Tribolium castaneum: one gene and its partner. Each later gene encodes a partner of the first gene's protein in a complex. Links are inferred from orthologs where the notes say so. Each region holds a gene or a part of one and is shown in the gene's direction. Other genes may lie near its edges.

Evidence for each region. Proteins that work in one complex are often made in the same cells at the same time.
Region 2: eIF3i (region 1) and eIF3l share a complex: the UniProt entries of both Drosophila melanogaster proteins name them as parts of the eukaryotic translation initiation factor 3 (eIF-3) complex. The link is inferred for Tribolium castaneum from reciprocal best matches to the Drosophila melanogaster genes eIF3i and eIF3l.

Annotation. Positions count from the first base shown.
Region 1 is NC_087394.1:744,510-756,078, reverse strand, and holds eIF3i (eukaryotic translation initiation factor 3 subunit I), read left to right. Parts: upstream 1-5,471; 5' UTR 5,472-5,596; coding exon 5,597-5,599; intron 5,600-5,715; coding exon 5,716-5,909; intron 5,910-6,287; coding exon 6,288-7,071; 3' UTR 7,072-7,108; downstream 7,109-11,569. Other genes in the region: proton-coupled amino acid transporter-like protein pathetic, read left to right, coding at 35-213, 897-1,305; mitochondrial carrier homolog 2, read left to right, coding at 2,779-2,883, 2,936-3,020, 3,070-3,364, 3,425-3,611, 3,857-4,123; fmt (serine/threonine-protein phosphatase 6 regulatory subunit 3), read left to right, coding at 8,743-8,802, 8,851-8,930, 10,465-10,738. UniProt on the Drosophila melanogaster protein: Component of the eukaryotic translation initiation factor 3 (eIF-3) complex, which is involved in protein synthesis of a specialized repertoire of mRNAs and, together with other initiation factors, stimulates binding of mRNA and methionyl-tRNAi to the 40S ribosome.
Region 2 is NC_087394.1:32,520,463-32,530,923, reverse strand, and holds eIF3l (eukaryotic translation initiation factor 3 subunit L), read left to right. Parts: upstream 1-1,524; 5' UTR 1,525-1,608; coding exon 1,609-1,647; intron 1,648-1,784; coding exon of another isoform or gene 1,785-1,812; exon of another isoform or gene 1,813-1,867; coding exon 1,868-2,131; intron 2,132-2,258; coding exon of another isoform or gene 2,259-2,388; exon of another isoform or gene 2,389-2,643; intron 2,644-4,622; coding exon 4,623-5,837; intron 5,838-5,884; coding exon 5,885-6,019; 3' UTR 6,020-6,071; downstream 6,072-10,461. Other genes in the region: iPLA2-VIA (85/88 kDa calcium-independent phospholipase A2), read right to left, coding at 473-775, 825-915, 962-1,166, 2,259-2,388; pentatricopeptide repeat-containing protein 1, mitochondrial, read right to left, coding at 7,482-7,727, 7,803-7,977, 8,717-8,847, 8,897-10,291. UniProt on the Drosophila melanogaster protein: Component of the eukaryotic translation initiation factor 3 (eIF-3) complex, which is involved in protein synthesis of a specialized repertoire of mRNAs and, together with other initiation factors, stimulates binding of mRNA and methionyl-tRNAi to the 40S ribosome.

The DNA of each region.
Region 1 (11,569 bases):
GAAATTTTTGGCACTTTTTTATTAATAATTCTAGGTAATGCCACTTGAAAACAACATGAAATCGCCACAAAAATTCGTCGGACTTTTTGGAGTACTTAATCAAGGGATGACTTATGTGACCATCCTGTATATAATTTTAGGTTTCTTAGGGTATCTCAAATATGGTGATCTTACGGCTGATTCAATCACGTTGAATCTTCCACGAGAGGAATAGTAAGTATATCGTATACAGGGTGAGTCAAGTGGGTGTGGTGGTATAACTTATGAGTCACCCTGTATATGTAACGAAAAAAATGGTCGAGCGTTTCGAACTCGAATTCGGTTTTTGTTTATCATTAATCGTTTATTGAGCATATTAGCAATTTTTTGATAAATTTTCAAGGCCACAAATCAACAATTTATTTTTTTATTTATCTTTCTGATGCAGAATTAATCGACGATTTCGAATATGTAATCGATTTTTAATTATCTTTGTTGGTTTCTAAATTTTGGCTGAAATTTGTTCGTCTCTAGTTAAGTGCTAGAATATAATTTTTCAAGGTCACATAAATCAACATATTGAACACAGAATAAGGAAAATTCTCCAAGGATTTAGAATATGTTATCAGTTTTTATTTTCCGTTTCTGGTTTTCGTTTTTATATCGAATATTTCGATATATTTTCGAAGAATTGGCATTTACCTATTAAAAACTAATCTTTGAGATACAACCGTAATTTTTGACTTTTGAGCACTGTCTACCACTGGAATTATAATGTTGAAGGCCACAAAAATCAACAAACTGAAGAGAAAAAGTATTTTTGGTACAAAATTATCAAAAGATTTCAAATATGTAACCAGTTTTTTTAACAAATTGTTAATACTTTTTGAAAAAGTGCTAAAAAAAATTTATTTCAGTGCTGCCCAAGCTGTGAATCTCCTTATCGGCCTTGCAGTATTCTTCACTTACGGTCTAGTGTTTTACGTGTGTTTGGACATTTTCTGGACCGAAATCAAGCACCGTTTCACCACCAAAACAGCACTTGCTAATTACGCCCTAAGAACTATTCTTGTGATGATAAATATCATAATTGCGATTCTAGTGCCTGCCATTGTACCGTTTGTCGGTTTAATCGGAGCGTTTTGTTTCTCGATTTTGGGACTTGTATGTCCTGTGATTATCGAAATATTTACGTTTTGGGATCAGGGATTTGGGAAGTTTTATTGGAAATTGTTTAAACATTTGGTCGTTGTTTGTATGGCGTTGCTTGCTGTTGTTTTTGGGTCGAAAGCGGCCATCTCTGATATTGCAAAAACATTTCACTGAAGCTTTGAATGCTAATATAAAGCTCTAATATTTCGAATCTTCGAGAAAAAAAAGGTTATAACGTAAAACTTGACTATTTATTTGTGTTCTTTGTTTGTAATAAAATTAAAATTACTTCTTCTTGAATTGCATTTATTTCATCTTCCCCTTTTTCCCTGTTTATTAAGAAAACAGTAACTCAAGCGATCATTTAAAAATGTTTTCTACTTGGTTTCACAAAGTTTTGGGACAGCAAAATGTCATAGTTATTTCATCTAATTTACACAATAATCTTTTGTTTTCGACTTATAAACAAAAGTTGATGTTTTAGCGAAATCTTAAACAATTCATATCATCCTTATTATAAAAGATATACATTTGAAACAAAAACATTATAGAGGCACTTTTTTACGTAGAATTTAGTAATGTTATCAGAGATTTTTTTTAACAGTTCGTTTAAGTTCAATAATGTAAAGTTGTATATTTTTAAATAGGAATCTTAGTTGGCTATGACATTTTCGAAAAGCTTTTTTTTTGAACTGAAAACAATATAAATACAGCTTGATATTTTTATATTGATAAAAAATATATTTAAAATATTTTAAAGTAGTTGGCCTCGGAAAAATTATTTAAGTGAAGTGAAGTGAAGCAAAAACTCCAAATAAAAAATACTCTTTCTACTTACAGTTATAAAAAATGTTCAGAAAGTCCATCTGCACTTCCGTAACACAGAATCATATCGGTCATTTCAGGATTTGTTTGATTTTTCATGATAATGATCCACTAACACACGAATCAAAGCCGAACTAACAACACACTAATCTGCACATAAGTACGGCGTACCGGCGATAACAGTTTTTGTGCCTTTTTTGCGTGGCGTACTCATCTTTAAATTAAAAAAAATAAAAAAATAAAAATAAGTGTTTTTTTAATATACTCGTACTGTATAACTTGGTCTTGAAATAAGTTATTAAATTAAAAAAAAAATCACATCTTAACCATACAGAATTGAGCTTCACCATCCCTTACACAAACAAGGTAAGAAGTGAATTTGTATTTAAATAAGACAAAAAAAACATTAAACAAATTTTAGGGTGTTAAATAAACAGCGGGAACATTCAAAGCCAAAAACAAATAAGGTAAGACGTTGTATTAAATAATCATTACATTCCAATCAAACATTGTATTTTTAACAGTCTTGTATAACTGGTTGCCTAACACGCACAAAAAATACAATTTTTAAATTTCCCTCGTATTATGTAAGACACCGGCCGGTATTATTTCAACCGTGAACATTTGCAATTACATTTATTTAAAAAAACACAAAAATAATCCTCCCAAAACCCGCCTTTTCTTCATTTTTTATCAGTTTATCACGCACAAAAAGATAAGCGATCCCAGTTGGCACAATTGACAGTTGTGCCCACTTTTGACAGAAATCAAATCGTGTCCAAGTCTCACCAATTTCCCAAAATTTCCAAAAACAAACCCACGATGAAAGTCGTCAAAGACAACGAAAACAAATGGTCAGGATACGGACTTCGCATTTTCCTCAACACCTTATCGCACCCATTCGAATACGCCAAAGTGCTCATACAGGTTAGGAAATTGTGGTGAAAATCGAGCGAAAATTCTGATTGTCTCATTGCAGATCGGATACGAACCCATACCGCCTCACTCGTCCAAAACCCTGCTCGGTAAACCAGCCCTCAAACTGCCAAACATCTTCCAATACGGTAAACCCCCCGAATTTTTAACCGAAAATAAACAGCCCCCTTATTACAGTCAAACACATCAAGTCGGTCGATGGTTTGTCGGGTTGTTATCGCGGCTTGGGCCCCAAAGTATGCGGCAGTTTGATAAATCTTGTCGCTACACAAAAAATGATGGAATATTTGGACTTGAACCAGCAGGACGAAGAAGAGGATACAGATGTTGAGGAAAATCGAAAACAGAAATTTTTGAAGTGTCTCAAGGGCGATATCATTACACATACAACAGCCATAATCATCAGTCAGCCGTTTCACGTCATCACTATACGAATTATGGCACAATTTGTTGGAAAAGAAGCCAAATATGTGTAAGTTTAGTTTACTGTATTCGATTTTAGGGGAGATTATTATTTTTGGGGGGTTTACAGGGGTGTGTTTGGTTCCATTGGTGAAATATACAGACAGAATGGAATTTTGGGTTTTTTCAGCGGACTCATACCCAGACTGATTGGGGATATTTTGTCCGTTTTGTTGGCAAGCAGTCTGACTTATGTTGTCAATAAGTATCTAATAGAAGAGAAGGAAATACAAAATTATACTTCAGCCGCTGTGTGTGTAAGTGAATTTAAAAAAAAACACAGTTGGTGAGCCCGACTGTCATTCAATGAAATATTGTCCCAGCGATTTGAAAAAGTCCTATATTATTGAAAAGTATTTTTTATAAAAGTAACTCATATCTGGAAAAAGTCTGTACACTTGAAAATAATTTCAAAGGTCAACAATGCACTTTTTCAAAACACAGAGATTATGGCCGCACTGTTGCCAATATTTTGACTAAAAAATAACTAAACCATTTATAGTATTTGTTGTTCAAGAATCACATTTCGCAGATGGTGTCCTCATCAATAATGTACCCCTTCCAAGTGGTGTCAAATTGCATGGCTGTCTCGAATTCGGGTTTGTTGGCTGGATCGCCCCCTTATATGTTGCACTACAACACTTGGATTGATTGTTGGAATGATTTGTCGAGTCGTAATCAATTGAAAAGAGGGTCTAGTCTTTTGGTTCGTTATTACAAGGGTCCTTCGTTGATAACAAGTAAAGGCAATCTACTCAAGGGCAACTAAATTTCATGTTATTCAGTAGTTGGATTTTTTTTCATTACAAATTGACGCAATTGTATGTAAATATTTAGAGTATTGTGTTATTTTACAATAAAATTCTTGTTCAGATTTTAATTGGAGTTTTTTTTATTAAGCAAGCAAAAACTTTGGCTTTAACTTTTAAAATGTGCGACTTGATATAAAGGTAAGTTAAAGTTGGATTAAATCTTTAGTTTCTTTGTTTTTTATTACACCCTGTACATATTTCGAAAAAAAGTGTTTATCCCCATTTTGTTTCTTTAGTTTACAGTTGCTGAAATCAGTAGGACGCGTTCTTGCAAAAATTAACAAAGTCGCTACACGGGTAGGAGATTGAAAAAATAAAGTTTGAAAAGTCAAGGAGTTTTCAAAAAAGAAAAAAAGAAAAAAAATTCAATAAGATTACAAGGAATATTTGTCCCCACTTCATTTTTTTACAAGCCAAGGCCCTACTGGAGCGCTTTATTACTAGCAAAAATATTTATTATTTACACGGTAAAAGCGTTGCGAAAATTAAGTTCTAAAATTCAAAATAATTTTGAAAATAAAAAGAAAAAATCTGTTAGGTTTTAAAGAGTGTTTACCTCCACTTGATTGTTTTACAGTCGAACACTATCCAAGAGCTTTATTTCCTGCAATAATAAACAAAATTGCAGTACGGAAAGCCGGTTGAAAAAAATGAAGTTTAAAAAGTAAAACATTTGCAAAAAAACAAAAGAAAAACATTCAGTAAGCAGAATGTTTGTCATCAATTAATTTTTTTACAGTCGAAAGTCTCATGGCTAGGCTATATATTCCTTGCAGAATTGAACAAAATCAATAAATGGGAAGGGGGTTAAAAAATAATGTTTGAAAAATTAAAATATTTTCCAAAAAAAAAAGAAAAAAAAATAGGTAAGGCCCCAGGGAATATTTATCCACACTTAATTTTTTTTACAATCAAATTCCCATCATCAGGCTTTGCTTCCTACAAAAATTAAAACACGAAAAGGGAGTTGAAAAAATAAAGTTTAAAAAGTTGAGATAAAAAAAAGATTGTAAGGTCCCAAGGTCTTAAATTAATGGCTCTACTTAATTTTTTTACTGCCAAAAGCCCTTTATTTCATACAAAAATAAACAAAATCGCTACAATGAAATATTATTTTAAAAGATTAAGTTTGTAAAGATAATAATTAAAAAAAAAAATCAGTAAAGGCCCAAAGAGTTTTTAATCAATAATCACAGTTAATTTTATTACATATTTTTCCCAACTGCTAAAAATTGCCAAAATGGCAATAACGCCATTTATCAGTTAATTTTGACAATACGGTTATTTCACCTGAGCCGGCACTGACTTAACCCCGCCACTGCACAACCCACCATGACAGTTAATTTTGACACCTCTTCTGTCAAACAACCGTCAAAAAAAGCGTGTTTAATCATTAAAATCCTTAAAAAAACGCCCAGTTTTTTAACAAAATGGTAAGTAACGACTCACAATCAATCGAAAAAAACGCCCCACAACCGTAAAACATTACATTACCCCACAATTTCACCCACATATTGTTCGCTTAAATTTAACCTCAAAACCCCCACAGAAACCCCTTCTACTCCACGGCCACGAACGTGCCATCACCCAAATCAAGTACAACCGTGAGGGCGACCTCCTCTTCTCCTCCTCAAAGGACAACAAACCCAACGTTTGGTACTCCCTTAATGGCGAGAGGTTGGGAACCTTCAACGGCCACCAGGGGGCTGTCTGGTGCATCGACGTCGACTGGACCACCACTAGGTTAATAATAATAATAAATTTATTGCTGCAATAAAGCAAATGGGTGCGCGATAAGGTTGCCTCAGTAGCGAATATACAGGGTGCCTCACCTAATACTTTTGAGCCTGATATCTCAGTTATTTGTCAACGTATTTTTATGAAAATTAAAATGCAGATATTTAGGAAAGTAAAGATTAAAATCCAATTAATGCAAAAACTGAAGTCTTAAAATCGTAATTTTAAAATTAAAATTAATAAAACAGATATTAATCTCGAAAGTTTTAGGTGAGACACCCTGTACAAGTTTTGATTAATTTGCTTTTACTGATTTAATCAAATACTACTTAGACCAGAAATATCACCTATTTTGCTACTTTTTAAACTATTTAAACTTTATAGGTTCCTGTCAGGTGCCGGTGACAACACCCTTAAAGTATGGGACTGTGAAACGGGCAAAGAAATCGGGAACATCTCAACCAATTCATCAGTCCGAACGTGTCTGTTTAGCTACTCGGGCAACATGGCAGTGTACACCACCGACAAAGCCCTCAAACACAACTGCGAGATCTTCATTATTGACGTCCGTAACGTGGACGAAAGCATCTCGCACGCCGACCCCATTTTACGCATCCCGATTAAAGGTTCCCGTGTTTCGTCAATCCTATGGGATAACCTGGACGAAACTATAATAACCGGGCACGAAAACGGGGATTTGATCAAGTGGGACTTGAAGTCAGGCAAAGAGATCAGTTCAACACGTGAACACGAACATTTAATCAACGATATGCAGTGGAATAAAGACGGGACAATGTTTGTGACAGCGTCCAAAGACCACACAGCTAAACTGTTCGACGCTGCTGATTTGATGTTACTGAAGACTTACAAGACAGAACGGCCGGTTAATTCAGCTGCCATTAGCCCCATTTTTGAGCATGTGGTTGTGGGCGGAGGGCAAGATGCCATGGATGTGACAACCACGTCGGCAAGGGTTGGGAAATTTGACTCGAGGTTTTTCCATATGGTGTTTGAAGAAGAGTTTGGGAGGGTTAAAGGGCATTTTGGGCCGATTAATAGTGTGGCGTTTCATCCAGATGGCAAGAGTTATAGTTCAGGAGGTGAAGATGGTTATGTGAGAGTGCATAATTTCGATTCGTCATATTTTGAGTATAATTTCGATTATTAAATGGATAGCTGGTATTAATAAATTTTTTAATAAAACAGTTTGGTTGTTTTTGTTCCTAGATTACGTCCAAGTCTAAGTTTTCGGAGCAATGATTTTAAATAATGATTATACAGGTGCTCCATAACTTTTTTTCTATGCAAGCTATCAAGTTGAATTTTTTTGAAACGCTAGGTTTACTATTGTAAGACTTATTAGGCACGTTCTAAAAATATTTTAATCTGTATACAGAGTATTCCAAAATAAAATACCTAACTATGTTCTGTTTTTTTTTAACAAAAACCCGGATTTTATGGATTTATCTGTCATAGCTTTTTGACTTTTTGACAGAAAATACACAAATAAAGCCCTTGTTAATGTGTTTTTCGTTCGTTTGAAACTGAAATTTAATTACGAAAATAATTTTGGTAAATTTTATTCCGGCGCTTCCAACTTGTGAAATGTAACTAAAACATTCGAAAAAGCAAAAATAATGAAATTTTCAGCTCCGTATTACTGCATTTAGTTACGTTTTGTGTTTTTTGAGACTGAAAAATTACTAACCTCAATTTTGTGGCTTCCAAAAAGTGGCGTCCAAAATGCGTTGGCTGTGACTTCTGTGATGTCACATTTTGAACAAAACGTTAATTTTAGTCATTTTGGCACTAAATACGCACAAAACACTGCTTTTTCAACACAAAAAACTAAAGGAAAAGACGCTTTGAAACAAATGATGTCAAGCCAACTCGATTTCATTGGGTGGTTTCAAGATGAGTGGTTTGTTGTTGTGCGGCAACTGTGAGACAGCGAAAGCGGGAAATTTAAAATTAGATTTTTTTGGCTCGTTTTATTTTATAACAAAAATTTCAATCAACCGTGCGATTAGTCGGTGAATTTAATTTAATTTAATTTAAAATGAGATTTAAGCTAGAATCTTATCAAAAAGCAGAGAAATAATGTGTTTTTCGTTTCTTTAAGCGAGAATTTGCAAAACAAGATAAACTTTTATTATACTTTAACGACGTGCCATAACAGTTAAAAAATGTAAAAATTGTTTTGTTTTTTCAATGCAATCTTTCGAAACAGAAAGTAATTTTGGATCTAATTACGTAATTTTTGACTCACTTTTATTACTATATGGCCAAAAAAAGAGTAGTTTTTAATTCTGAAACGTTCGAATCTGTCAATAATCTGTTCTTTGTTGGCAAAAAAATTAAACTATGTATTTCATAAACTGAGCAAAATCGACAAATAACAATTTCTTACAAAATGAAAAAGTGGATTTTTGGAAAAAAGAGTCCAAAACGCAATATTGTCCGATTTCAAATAATTCACGGAAGCCAGTTGAAAGTTTGAATTTGAATTTGGCGCCACGTTCTGTCATTTCCCCCTCGATCAACAAGTGCATTGTGGGATTAGATGGTGGTCATTTTTGTCATTTATATTATTGTCTAAAAGTGTTGCAACCAACCGAATAAATTGCGTGTTTTACCTGAAGCTCGTCTTAATTACTATGAAATTTGTGATATGCTGTTTATTATCGCTAGCCGTATCTGTGTAAAGTGTGCATTTAACCAAGCGTTTGATAACAAAGGTCATTTCAGATGAACCTAACCCAACGTCTCTAGAGTCACGAAAAAGGTAAAAAACTGTCACAAATCACGTCATTTTTGACATTGCGTTGCAGAAATTACCATGTTTTGGAAATACAACAACAATTCGTCGTCGGAGCTCGACGCCCTGCTCGCCAAACAGGTAAAACCCCCATGGAGTTGTGGAAACCCCCTGATTGCGGTTTTACAGGACGTCACGTTGTCGGAGGTGATGGACGCTGAAGACATCATCAACCAGTGCAAAGCGCAAAGCAAGGGCTTGATCGACTTGTAAGTCTACAGGCGGTTCCGTCTAAACCCCACTTGGTCATTTGAAAATTTCATTAAGGGGTGGTAGTACAGCTCAAAAGAAGTGAAAATAACTCAACTTGCGTGATCTGAATGTACTTATAGTCATCTTGAATTTTGTTTACTGTCTGAATTAGAGATTTTTTACTTTTTTTCTAAATGAGATTTGGTACGATTACAGAACTATTAGCTTCCAAAATTTCATTCAAAAATAATCCCATTAGTCATGTAAACTTTCGAAAAAAGTACTCAAAAGAGGTAAAACCTAGTTGATATTGCGTTATTTGTACGAATTTTTAGTCGCTAAAGTGCTATGTTTCAAAAGTTAGATAAAACAAGGTGGTTTATTTTGACTTTTTTTAACTCTTCTATCATAAAATATTATTTTGCACAACAATCAGTCAGTAATTCAATAATTTGTTCATTAATTAACACTTCTCTTGCTAATTTCTCATTATCATCCCCAACATATTCCCCAGAATTCGGTGAAAAGTTCGTTATAAATGGAAAATTATATCAAATTTTGAGTAAAATCTAGTTGGTTATAAATATTTTTTAAAATTTGGTAATATTATTTAGCTCATTTGAAAGAGGAAGTCTAGATCTTTCCTTTGGTGTTCTGAAATTTCTAAAAAAAAATAATAAAACCCAAATTTTTAAAGTTAAGTTTGCTGAACTTTAAGCACTCATAACTCAATTTTATCAAATGAAATGCCACAAGTTTTATTTCATTAAATCGTAAAGAATTTAATTCTGCATCGATCTGTATTAGCATTCCCTATACTTATGTTTAATAGTTTTCAAGTTACAATAACTTTTTGTAGGGATTGAGAAATTTCCATATAGGCTGCCATGGCAACGAGAGAAAAAATGTGAAAAATTAAAGTTTTTTTTTTATAAATTTATTTTGTTTTCACAGGACGGTGAACACAATTTTGTTGTTTGTTTAATCAGAAATGTTTTTATGGCAAACTATGCAAAAATAGCTGTGGTTAGTAAGAAATTTTTTACAATATCAAGAAAAACAACATAACTTGAAAATTATCACAGATAAATATGGGAAATGCTTATACAGATCGTTGCAGAAAAAATTCTACAATATCTAGTAAATAAAAATTGGGACATCCCATTTGAAAAAATTAAGTTATGGGTACTTGAAATTGTCCAAACTTAAACATAAAATTTTTGGGTTTGTTAACTTCTTTTCCAATTTTGAACACACTGGAGAACAGATAAACACCTTCTCTTTTAATTCTCTAAATATGATTTCCAAATCTCTAAAACTAAGAAAGTTACCGATTTTTTAAGCGACAGGTGCAAATCCAAAAATTTTCAAAAAATCTTAAATATTTCGAAAGCCGTTAGACTTGGGTATAAGGTAAGCTGATTAAAACGGCCTTAAAATAACTCAACTAAGTATTCAGCTAAGTATTTTTATTAATGTGGGGTTTAGACGGAACAACCTGTATAAATAAATCAAGCAGACTTAACAATATTTTAATCGAAAAATTGGCAGTCTTTTGAAGCCCGAAATGATGGAAGAGCTTGTAAGTCTTGTAACACGTGAGCCTTCCAACGAATTGGACGAAAGAGTTAGGTTCAAGTACCCAAACATTGCGTGTGAATTACTTACATCTGATGTTCCTTCAATTAACGAGAGGCTGGCTAGTGACGAAGTACTGCTTGATAAGCTGTACAGTTTTTTAGAGTGTGAGCCGCCCTTAAACCCACTCTTAGCTTCCTACTTTAGTAGAATTATGGGTGCACTTATTGCCAGAAAGACTGAGCAGGTAAGCAACACTAATTATTTAATTTATTTTTTTAATTAATTCATTCAGAATGATTCAATTTATTTGTCAAGGGCGGCTATGAATTCAGTGTTACCAACAATCATTCATTTAAATTAATTGTTTCTTATCAAAGGTGACTCATTCATGTATTTAAAATGAATTATTTGAAGGATTCGTACTTTTTTAACCGTTTCAAGTGTCACACTGTTGGACGATTAACGATTTTTTCACACGTTAACACTAATGTATTTGTTCAAATCACACTTAATTTTTTAATTAAAAAATAATAAAAATTAACATACATACTTTGGGTTTTTAGCAAGACATCTCATTTGATAATTTGTAACAAATTATAACTCTTATAATGTAATATAAATAAATACTATTTGTGCGTTTCCCTGGAACAAACCGTTTTTCTCTACGACTTTTTGTTTTTCAGTTATGATTTTTTTCCTCTAAAAATTTTAAGTGTGAAGATTACTTTAATTTCTTATTTGTTTAAATTACATAAAAATTTGTTTATAATTTTTTAGCGTTTTAACTCGTTTTCGAGTCAAAACTAAAGATATTATTATTATTATTTCTCACAAAATGCTTCAAGTATTTATCAAGAAAAAGGCGTTTTTTAACACGTTTTTATTATTTCTAAAAAAGAGACAGTTTTAGTGAAATTACTTATAATCACGTGATTACTGCTTCAACTGTTAGTAGGACTGTCTGATTTCAAGGTTGCCATAATTTGTTAGAAATAAATTACCTGAAGATACGAAAAATTGAATCATTCTGTGGAAATGTTTGAAGATGTGTGCAATTATTTGAAATTAAGTTGGC
Region 2 (10,461 bases), about 32 Mb from region 1:
TGTCACATTTTACGAGTAACCTGAAACACTCGTTGGAAACGTTAAAGCAATGCCTATTAATTGTTTTTCCAATAATGTCCTTATTTGTAATACGAGTACAATCCATTCATTGATAAAATTAGGTTCCCTAAAACTAGTGATTACTTATTAGGTAAACTGATAACTTTGTTTGTCTCTAGTAGGTTTTAATAGAAATAAACATCTCGTAAATAAAATGTCAACGTTTGACCTATGAACTTTATAAATGTGTTCTCGTTTTTTATTATTTACTAGTTCAATGGAATTTTTCTATACTCTAGTGTAATATTTGATATTTTCCACATAACACAAACGAAACAATGCTCAATGGAAATGACCAAGGCCTTTACAAATGTTAAACTAAAAAAAGGTATTTAAAATCGTCAGAAAAAAATCTTTAGAATTCCTTATGTACAACTTTTCCGTATCTAATTTTGCACAATTCAATACTTACGGCAATGATATCTTTGGTGGTGCTAGCGGCGTAATGGAACACCGAATCAGAGTTGTAATCGAGATGTTCCAAAGACGCATTCGCAGCAACCAAAACTTGCACCGTCTTCAAATTCTTCGTGGTAATAGCAACTTGTAGTGGCGAGATCCCAGTTTCATCATCAGTACTATTCAAATAATTGTTAATCTTAGAGTCTTTAAAAGAATCATAGAGACTAAAATACGCCGCCAAATGGGCCAAGTTCCAAGAGGGGTGTTCCGCAAGAACGTCACAAATCTTTTGCAAACCTTGCACATTATACATCTGAAATAAAATTCCAAATAATCGTCTTTTAACAACTACAGCAAATTACTTCTTTCGAAATCTCAACAAACGTGGGTAACTTATCCTTCAAGACACAAAATTTCACTTCAGCTTCGTCAAGATTTGGCGAGCGGTATAAACTAAAAATTGATTTTTTTAACAGTTGACGTGTTCGGGGGCACAAACCTGTAGGTTTGGTGTAGGCTTTCCGTGTACGGGCGATGGAGCACAATTTCGTAAGTGGCCCCTTTTTTCTTGTCAACTGTATTAGCTGGGAGGTAGAGGACCAATCCATCTTCCCGTAGGTGAATCGCTCGGTCGGAAAAAGCGTCTGATTTGGCGTCAATCACTTTGGTTGGGGCGGGTTCTGAACTGAGGAAGCTACGTAAAACTGCAAAATGAAGAATAATATTTGTACCATCACAAAGCAGGGGATTACCACTTGTAAATCCTTGGGCAAACATTTTATTACTTAATATCTATTCATACGGTTACGAACACTAATCACTCACTGAGATTGACTACCGATCATTGTGTTTTATTTAAGAAATTTGTGATTTCATAGTTCAAGGTTTGTTCGAACGAGCAATTGGGGAATGAGGTTAAATCACCGGCTCAGTAAATTTGCATTTAGATTAACATCATGTTTATTGATCGTTTTATTTTAAAACATTTTTCTCACTTACTCAGCGGAAATACTTTTGAAAATGAGAAAAAAATGGAATTTCTTGCACCACCTCGAGTAGAAACCTGTAATTTGTAATTGTCAAACGTCAACTGGCTTCGAGGTTAAGTGCAAGACCATTTGCTCGCTATAGTGGCGTAGGCATATAATGAGTAAATTCAAAATGTTTTCCGACGATTATGAGCAAGTGAGTGCTTCAAACACCTAAAACTTGAACAATTTATCCTTAAACCTACACTGGGTTCTATAAAACTCTAGTAAAAGCTTTGCAAATTGAACCATGTGTCTCAAGCCTATTTGTAAAAGTGTGGAAATAATACCGACCTACATGTTTAGCATGCACCATTCCCATAATTCGTGGCAGCAAAATTGACAATAAATTGGACACTGATTTTCATTTATTTCAGGGTTATGAATACAACAGCTATGATGAGTATGGGGCTCACACAGGAGACCCCAACTTGGACAACGAGTACAATAAACAGCACCTAAAGATGCCGGAAATAGTCAAAAACTTCCTAATCTATTTCCGCAATTGCGTGAATGAGGGTTTAATCTTTGAGTTGCAAACTTTGTATGAAACTTCGTGGCCAAAACTAACCGAAGATTATTTCGAGAAACGCCCCTGGCCAGAAGAGTCAGAAGTGTCAGCGCTAGTCGACAGTGATCCCGTGAGTAAATCCATGACTATTTTACCTTCCGCCTCGATTTTGTCTTTCACTTGGTCTAGTATTTTACCCCCAGTTTCACTCTCCTGGACATCCTTAATTTTTTCCTTTACGTGATCAATTATTTTACCTTCTGTGCCAATGTCTTGGACGTCCTTGATTTTCTCCCTAACGTGTTCACTTTTGTCTTTGAGTTCTTCAGAGATTTTCTCTTTGAGCTCTTCTTTTTTGCTCAGGAGTTGCCTTTTGTAATGCTCCATTGCGACTGTTGGAAGCAGTAGCAGGGAAAAATGAACATAAATGGGTTTTATTATGTCTTTAGCAAAAGGACACGTCAGAAGCGACCTAATTACAAAGAAATCGCTCAATATCTATGATTCTTTGATGTCTATTGATTGTAAAGTTTTTGCTTAAATATTTATTTACGCAGCATGGGCGAAAAAAATTGGTTTAAAATAATAATAAATACGACTTTTGGTTTTGGACTTTAATAATGCGATGAATAATATTAAAATAAATAAAAATAAATAAATAAAATAAAAATAGATTTAACGACAAAAAATAAACTTTGAATAAGGTGCTTACAAGGTCATATCTTTTCTAATACTATACAGTTTCGACGAAATTCTAAATTTCATTTCATTTAAAGGTAATCGATTTCAAAATAAATAAAACAGCTTTTTCCTACATTTTTTTGAATTAGGAGTATACCAAAGTCAATAATAGACAAATACATTTCCAATAATATTTTTTCTCGAGGCTTGAGACTTCTTGAAATAAATCATAAAATTTGCTTATTAAACGAATTTTTGTTCTATAAATAAGTAAAACGCTTAACCAAGTAAATTGCATAAACAAAAAAAATTATGTTATAATCAACTGAATTAACAGAACTGTCTTCACAATTTACTAAAGAATTAACTTTGAGTATTTACCAACGAAAATTTGAATACAAAGTCTTAATTAGGCCCAAAAAAATCGTGAGAATCTTCAAAGTAGATTATTTGTTGTCCTTAAAAACTCATGATAAGATAAATAAATTGAGATCTCAACGGGAAAACTATTCAACTGTTCGTCTCTCTTTTGAAAAATAAAATATGCTTTTAAAAATATAAGAAAATCAGTGATAAATCGTAATAAATAGACGGTACCTCAAGCATTTTCCTAAAAACAATGTTTAAATTAAACCTAGGTACAGAATTTTGTTGCATAAATAAGTAAAATCGTTAATCAGTCATTTAGTTAACAAAAAAAAAAACATGTAATGAACTAAATTAACCAGGAACTACCTCCACAATCTACTAATCATATTTCTGTCAACTTCTATTTTCAAATGGCCTATCTTTTTCAAAAAGATAGTAATATTTAAAGTGATGAAATTAATTGAAATGAAAATCGTTATAAGTAATTGATTACCGACTGGACGCGTATTCGCCTAATAAAAATTGAGTTTAAAATAAGTATAAAAATCTGTGAATATTTTCGAAAGAACAAAAATATTTACTCATAATAGAAATATTATGAATGATTTTTTTACGGATTCAGGTAATACTGAGGGAGTGTATACCAAATACAGCGTGCTCAAAAACTGGCGCACCAACTCAGTGGTGTGTGGTAGAGAACTGGTTACATATAAAGGTAAAAATAGTAAAAAAAATCTTTGTATTACTGTTATTGATAAATAACTAATTTTAGGTAAATGATATGTGGCAACGTTGTCTAACAGTCATGATTGCAATAGAATTTGAGCAACAATAAAAATAAATTATTTTTGAAACGGTTTCCTAGGAAATAATTCCCAGTGTTGGCACATCTACACATTGTGATTTTTTGGATGAGTTTTAATTTTTTTTAATTAAAAAAACTGCTAAAATCTGATAGTAAATTTTAAAATAATTATTCATTGTATTGTTACGGAACGATAACCTGGTATGAAACATAGAAATATAAAAAAATAATGAAAACTAAAGAAGTTAACACAATAAGTTTGTAGCTCCAGATTTTTTAAAATATAACTTTAGAAATTTATTCAACATTTTTCCCGTAATCTGCACTTGCTTCTCAATAACGTACCACTGAGTTGGTGCGCCAGTTTTTGAGCACCCTGTATATAAAAAGTAGTGAGATTACGGACGGGACACAAAAATTTATCTTACGTAACAATTTTATTATAACATGAAAACTTTAACCAAAATAAAAAAACAACTAACAGTCATCAAAAAAAGGAACACCATTCTTGGGAAATTAAATTACGTACGTTTAACAATTAATATTTTGTCCCAAACCTATATATAATTTTTGAATTGTATTTCAGTTATTTGACACTATTTATAGGAACATAACTTCCAATTTGAAAACGCTTGATTTTGTTCACGTATAGAATTCTCTACCATTATTAATTATTAATTTTTTGGGTTCAATGATTACAAATACGTGAAAATTATTATTTTCACTTACTTCTTGCGGGAAATATCCTATGCAACCCTTCTTGCAGGTGTTCATGATCCTGTACAAAGAGCTCTACTTCCGCCACATTTACGCGCGCATTCAAGGGGGCCCAACCCTCGAGCAGCGCTTCAATTCGTTCTACAATTACTGCGACCTCTTCAACTACATCCTAAGCGCTGACGAACCGGTGCCTCTAGAACTCCCCGACTTGTGGCTATGGGAATTAATCGACGAATTCGTCTACCAATTCCAATCATTCGCCCAATACCGGGCCCGCCTTCAGAAGAAAACCGCCCAAGAACTGGAGACTCTAAACTCGCACAATAAAGTGTGGAACGTACTTTGCGTTCTGAACGTGTTGCATTCTCTGGTCGACAAGAGCAACATCAAGCAACAACTGGAGGTTTGCGCCAGTGGGGGCGACCCCGATTCGGTGGCCGGCGAGTTCGGGAGTCACTCGCTCTACAAAATGTTGGGCTATTTTTCCCTGATTGGGCTTCTGAGGCTTCACTCTCTGCTCGGGGACTACTACCAGTCGATCAAAGTGCTGGAAAACATTGAGCTGCATAAGAAGTCGCAGTATGCGCACATCCCGGCTTGCTTGATCTCAACGTCGTACTATGTGGGGTTTGGGTACATGATGATGAGGCGCTATTCTGACGCAATTCGCACGTTTTCGTCCATTCTCTTGTACATTCAGAGAACCAAGCAATTGTTTGCTTCTAAAAGTTATCAGCACGACCAGATTAACAAGCAAACGGATCAGATGTACCACTTGTTGGCCATTTGCTTGGTTTTGCACCCGCAGTGTATCGACGAATCGATCCAGCAAACTCTGAGAGAGAAAAGCTACCATGAGAAAATGTACAAGATGCAGTATGGGGACCTCCAGGAGTTTGAAAATTGTTTCGTTTTCGCTTGTCCTAAGTTTCTTTCGCCGTGTCCTCCGCCGGTGGATTCCATCCCTGATGATTATTCGAAGGAGGCGATCCGCCACCAAACTCAAGTTTTTATGGACGAGGTCCAGCAACAAAAAATGTTGCCAACGATTAGAAGTTACTTGAAGTTGTACACCACTTTGCCCATTGCCAAGTTGGCGACTTTCATGGCGCAGAATAAGAACAGTGAAGGGAAGTTTGATGTTGATAAGGAGACGCAGAATCTTTTGATTCATTTGTTGTGCTTCAAGCACAAAATGAAGAATGTGGTGTGGTCGAAGGGCTCGTCGGGGCTGGAAGGGAAGCTGGAGAGTGGCTCAGAGGTAACATTTTGTAATTTTTGGTTTTGTTTCGTAAAAAAATATTTCAGCTGGATTTCTACATCGATAATGATATGATTCATATCGCCGACACGAAAGTGGCGCACAGATACGGCGATTTCTTTATAAGGAAAATTCTCAAGTTTGAGGATTTGAACAGGAAGCTTCACAATCTTAAATTCTAATGTAGAATTCGGTGTAATTTTTGCACTCAACGAATAAAATTGCTTAAAATAACTGTACTTTTCTTTTTTTCCTTAGCCACCTCAGTCACCTTTGTCTATACAAATTTGGAACAGGTATTAAAAATTTCACCTTATCTTTGATCACTATCATTTAACAAAGTTTTTTATTGATGCAAGATAAATCAATTAAACCTCTTTTATCTTTTAAGTATCATTGAGTTTAATTAGGCATTTATATTCAGTTTATTATTCGTTTGCAACTGAAATGGATAAATAGTTTATTACTTAATATTTTTCTAACTTTTTGGAAACACTAGTGAGAAAATTATTTCTCAACAAAAGCGTGAACGCAAAATTAGACTTTTATAAAAAATAATAAACAAAATTGTTTCCTTTTCCCTCACAGATTAGTTTAACTTTATATTAAATATTTGTAACCGAATCGATTAATTTATTTTATTCTTCGACACTGTCAAAATTTACGGTTTTTCTCCTGTGTAAGGAAGTTTTGACAACTGTTTGGCATTTCTCAGTACGAAACGTCAGATTATTTTTAACAAATTTAAAGCAATTTTAAGCCTTGCTGAGTCTATTTCGAAGAATAAAATGTTGTATTCAACTCGTTTTTGTGTAAATCGGTTCATTTATTTCGCCTCGTGGATGATAAACCACTCGTTTTCACTCGTGGTTTAAAAATCCACTCGTGAAATAAAGCGTCCGATTTACACTCAAACTCATTAAATAAATAACTATTACAAAAAAAAATTAAGTTGAAATAGAATGCCTTAGCAACGCACAATTTTGATTCATTTGCTTAGATTTAAAATTTTCCGTTTTGAAACTTTATTTAGAGAAACATTTTTTGTATAAAGAAACACCGTCTTGTTTCCGAAAAATACATAGAAAAAATTCGAGGCTTTGTTATCAGCAGCAGCAATCACTCGTAGTTGTGACTTAATACTTGAATGCGAAATTTTTATTGTAAAAATTCTCTTATCACTTATTGTAAAAATGTTGCATTTGACAATGATTTAGCATTGCTCATGTAGTCACAGTTCTAATTTGTGTAAAATTCGCTCAATGAACAAGTATTGCAAGTTAGTTTCACGTCTTAATCAACACATGCGCATAAAAGATATTTTAAAATTTTTTGCGCTCAGAAGTGAGTATATTTTATTTTTTATGAAATAAGTGCGTTCCATTCGATTCGAAAACAGTGGCAAAGAGATAAATAAAACATGAGTCATTTGCAATTAGAATTGGTCAAAACACGTAACTGCAAATTTTAATTAACTTTTTTAATAATCTAATAAGTAGTAGATAAAAATCACGGTACAAAATTACTCATGCGCTCTGCTGATTATGTATTCTGCATATGCTAACACGTGACTACATACCTCAGTGCTACCACAGCTTCGTGACTTTATTTCAACATGTCTGAAGAAATAGCACAAGGTACAATTTAACGTTCGTTTCCTTTACGTTTCGTTGATGTTTTGACTTTAAATCGTGACAAATGTCTGGCTTTAAACCTCTGTGATTTATCCTTGTAATGCCTACTGTCTGTATCACTTGTCTGTCTGAACTGGGCCCAAGGATGGACGTCTTCACTATCATCAACTTCAACCTCATCCAGCCACGTCTTGTACCTCATCTGGAATATTCTAAATCCCTTTTGGAAAAATCCACTTTGCGATAATGTATTTTCCTACAAATTAAAATTGCAATGACAGTAAATCTGAAGTGGCTTAAGTGATAAAATCTTGAATGGAAAAATAATCACCTTATCATTTGAGATATCTTTGCACTTCTTTTTAAAATCGTGCAAACATTCCATAAACTTCTTATTCGGCTTCACGTTCTCTCGCAAACTAATTTCCATTATTTCAAGTACGTAGGGGAAGTTTTTGTGGTAGCAAGCCTGGTGCAGCATCGCCCCCAAAATTTCAGTATTTAGCCTAAAGTTATAAAATAGTTATTTAATTAATGAAATCGTCAAGTACTCAAATATCATTATTTAGGTCCAGAACCGTCCACAAAATGTTCAATTTCAATTTTTTATAAGAAATTATATGACTTCCAAACACTAAAGTAGTTGAACCAAAATTACAGTCGAACAAAGTGAAAATTACGCCTCAATAAACCAGTTCCTGCTGGTAACATCCTTCAGGAGTCAGTTTACAGAATGCGAAATTAAAATTTAATTCAGAATTAAATTAAATACAATTAAGTTGCCATTTATTTTGCACTGATTAACGTCAAGTTAAATTAAAATGTAAATTTTTTAGTGAAAAGTTTAACAACCATGTCATCATTTTTTTCTGTCTTATCGGTTTAACTTTATTCATCAATGTTTAGTCAGGCGTCATTTTCATTTTGTCCGCCTGTACACTTTATATAATCGAGTAAATCTGCTAAAAATATTTACTGTATCTCAAAAACTAATGAATACACAGAAATCAGCATTTATTTAATTTAATTAATTAAAAATATTACTAGGGTGTTAATAATTAGTTGAAATTTTAGTATCTTTAGTGTCAAATGAACGATTCTTAAATGATGTTTTGAGGAAAAAATACGTAAAAAAATTGGTTTTGTCCCCAAATTAGATAAGTAACGTAATTTTGATTAAAGGCATGGTACAAAAAATTTCAACTTTACGGGCTGTTTAAAAAAAAAGTTTTATGTTTGAGCTACCTATATGAGTGTGCTTCCATTTCTTTCAGTAATTCTAAAGCCTCTTCTTTAGTTTTACAACCCAGCGATAAAACCCCATACGTTATCAAATTTGGTCGATAGTTATATTTTTTCATGTCGTTCAAAACGGCCTAAAATCATCAAAATGAGACAGGAAATTTTCATTTTATTTATTCCTGCCTTTGCGCTTTCATAATCAAACCGCATACTCCTCTTCTTAATCAACATATTGAAAAAGTCAATGTCCGGCTTAACCCCAAGTCTTTTCATTTCTCGTAAGAGCTCTTTCTCAGCAGCTTCACTTCCAGGTAAGCAGTCCAAAAGTTGGGTAAACGACTTAATATCAGGCGTGCAACCACTCTCCGTCATATTCCCCAAAAAACCCCTCAAACCCCCAACTAGCAGCAACCTATCCTCAGGCTTGGTAATTTCAGACAACGAAATAATATTCCCTAGATGGGGCACTCTTGCCATGAGATTCGGGCGGCAATGGTCGACTTCGCCCACTAATTCGTTACTTTGGATCAAACATTTGCCATCGTTTGAGCCCTCTAGCAACAATTTATTGTCACCGCCACTCAACCGCAGATTTTTTTTTAAAATTATTTGCAACGTTTCGTTCGTAACTTCCAAATTACCAAGCCCGCAGTCACGAACACACCTCAAGATTAAGTTGTAAGTGTACAAGTTTGGCGCAATTCGCTTGTCTACCATTTTGCGCCAGAGCAACAAAGCGTGGCGAAAGCCCGCTTCCCTGTCCTGGATGCAAGCTTGCAGCAGGAAGTTCATCGTATCTCCGGTGATTTTGACTTTTTTCGCGGCCATTTCGTCAACTAATTTGAACGCAGCTGGGAGGTCACCACAGCGCCCGAACGCTTTGATCATGGCGTGATAATTTGTGTCGTTCGGTTCGTACATTTTCTCTATCATTATGTTTTGCAGCTTTCGGGCTCTGGTTAGGCCGTCTTCTGGCCAGGGGCTGTTGGCACAGGCGTTGAACAACGCTGTGTACGTGCCAGCTGTGATTTTCAAGCCGCGTTTTTTCATCTGGTTGTAGACAGAAAACGCCTTTTTCGTGTACCCCACACGGCCGCAAGCGCCGATTAATAAATTGTAGATGTAATTTTCTGGCTTGACTTTGTCTTCCTTGATCATTTTCACCTCAACCACGTCGATTGCTTCCTTGATTTTGTGTTGCTTGATCAGTGCTTTTATCATGTCGGCGTACTGTTTTGTGCTTTGCCGTTTCAAGGGGATTGTTTTTTCGGACCAGTCCTTTTCCTCTTCCAGGTCTTTTTCGTAAATTTCCTCCCTTTCTTCGGGGTCGCCAAAGGTGTCAGGGTCATTTTTGAGACGTACTAAAAACTCCTGCTCGGTTTTTTCTTGTGGAATATTTGCAGCATGTGAGAATAATCGTGTGTTGGAGGTTAGAACTTCGGTTTGGGCATTTTCCCGAAATTTACAGTTTAGCAGGTGTGGGTATTGCTTAATATTTAGCAATGTATTTGCTTTTTGTGGCTTGCCACTTTTTACGGCTTGTTGTGCCAGAAATTTTAATAATTTTAAACGATACATTTAATTTTTTGCTTCCATAACCTCAAAACACAATTGCTGACAATTGACAGGTTCCAGCTGTGCCAACACATGAGGCAAAAAATTCAAAATATTTTTTTCAATAATAATTAAATTGTCGTTTTGGAGATAAGGTAGTCTTAAAGATAAGATTATAATTAGTCTTCTTAAAG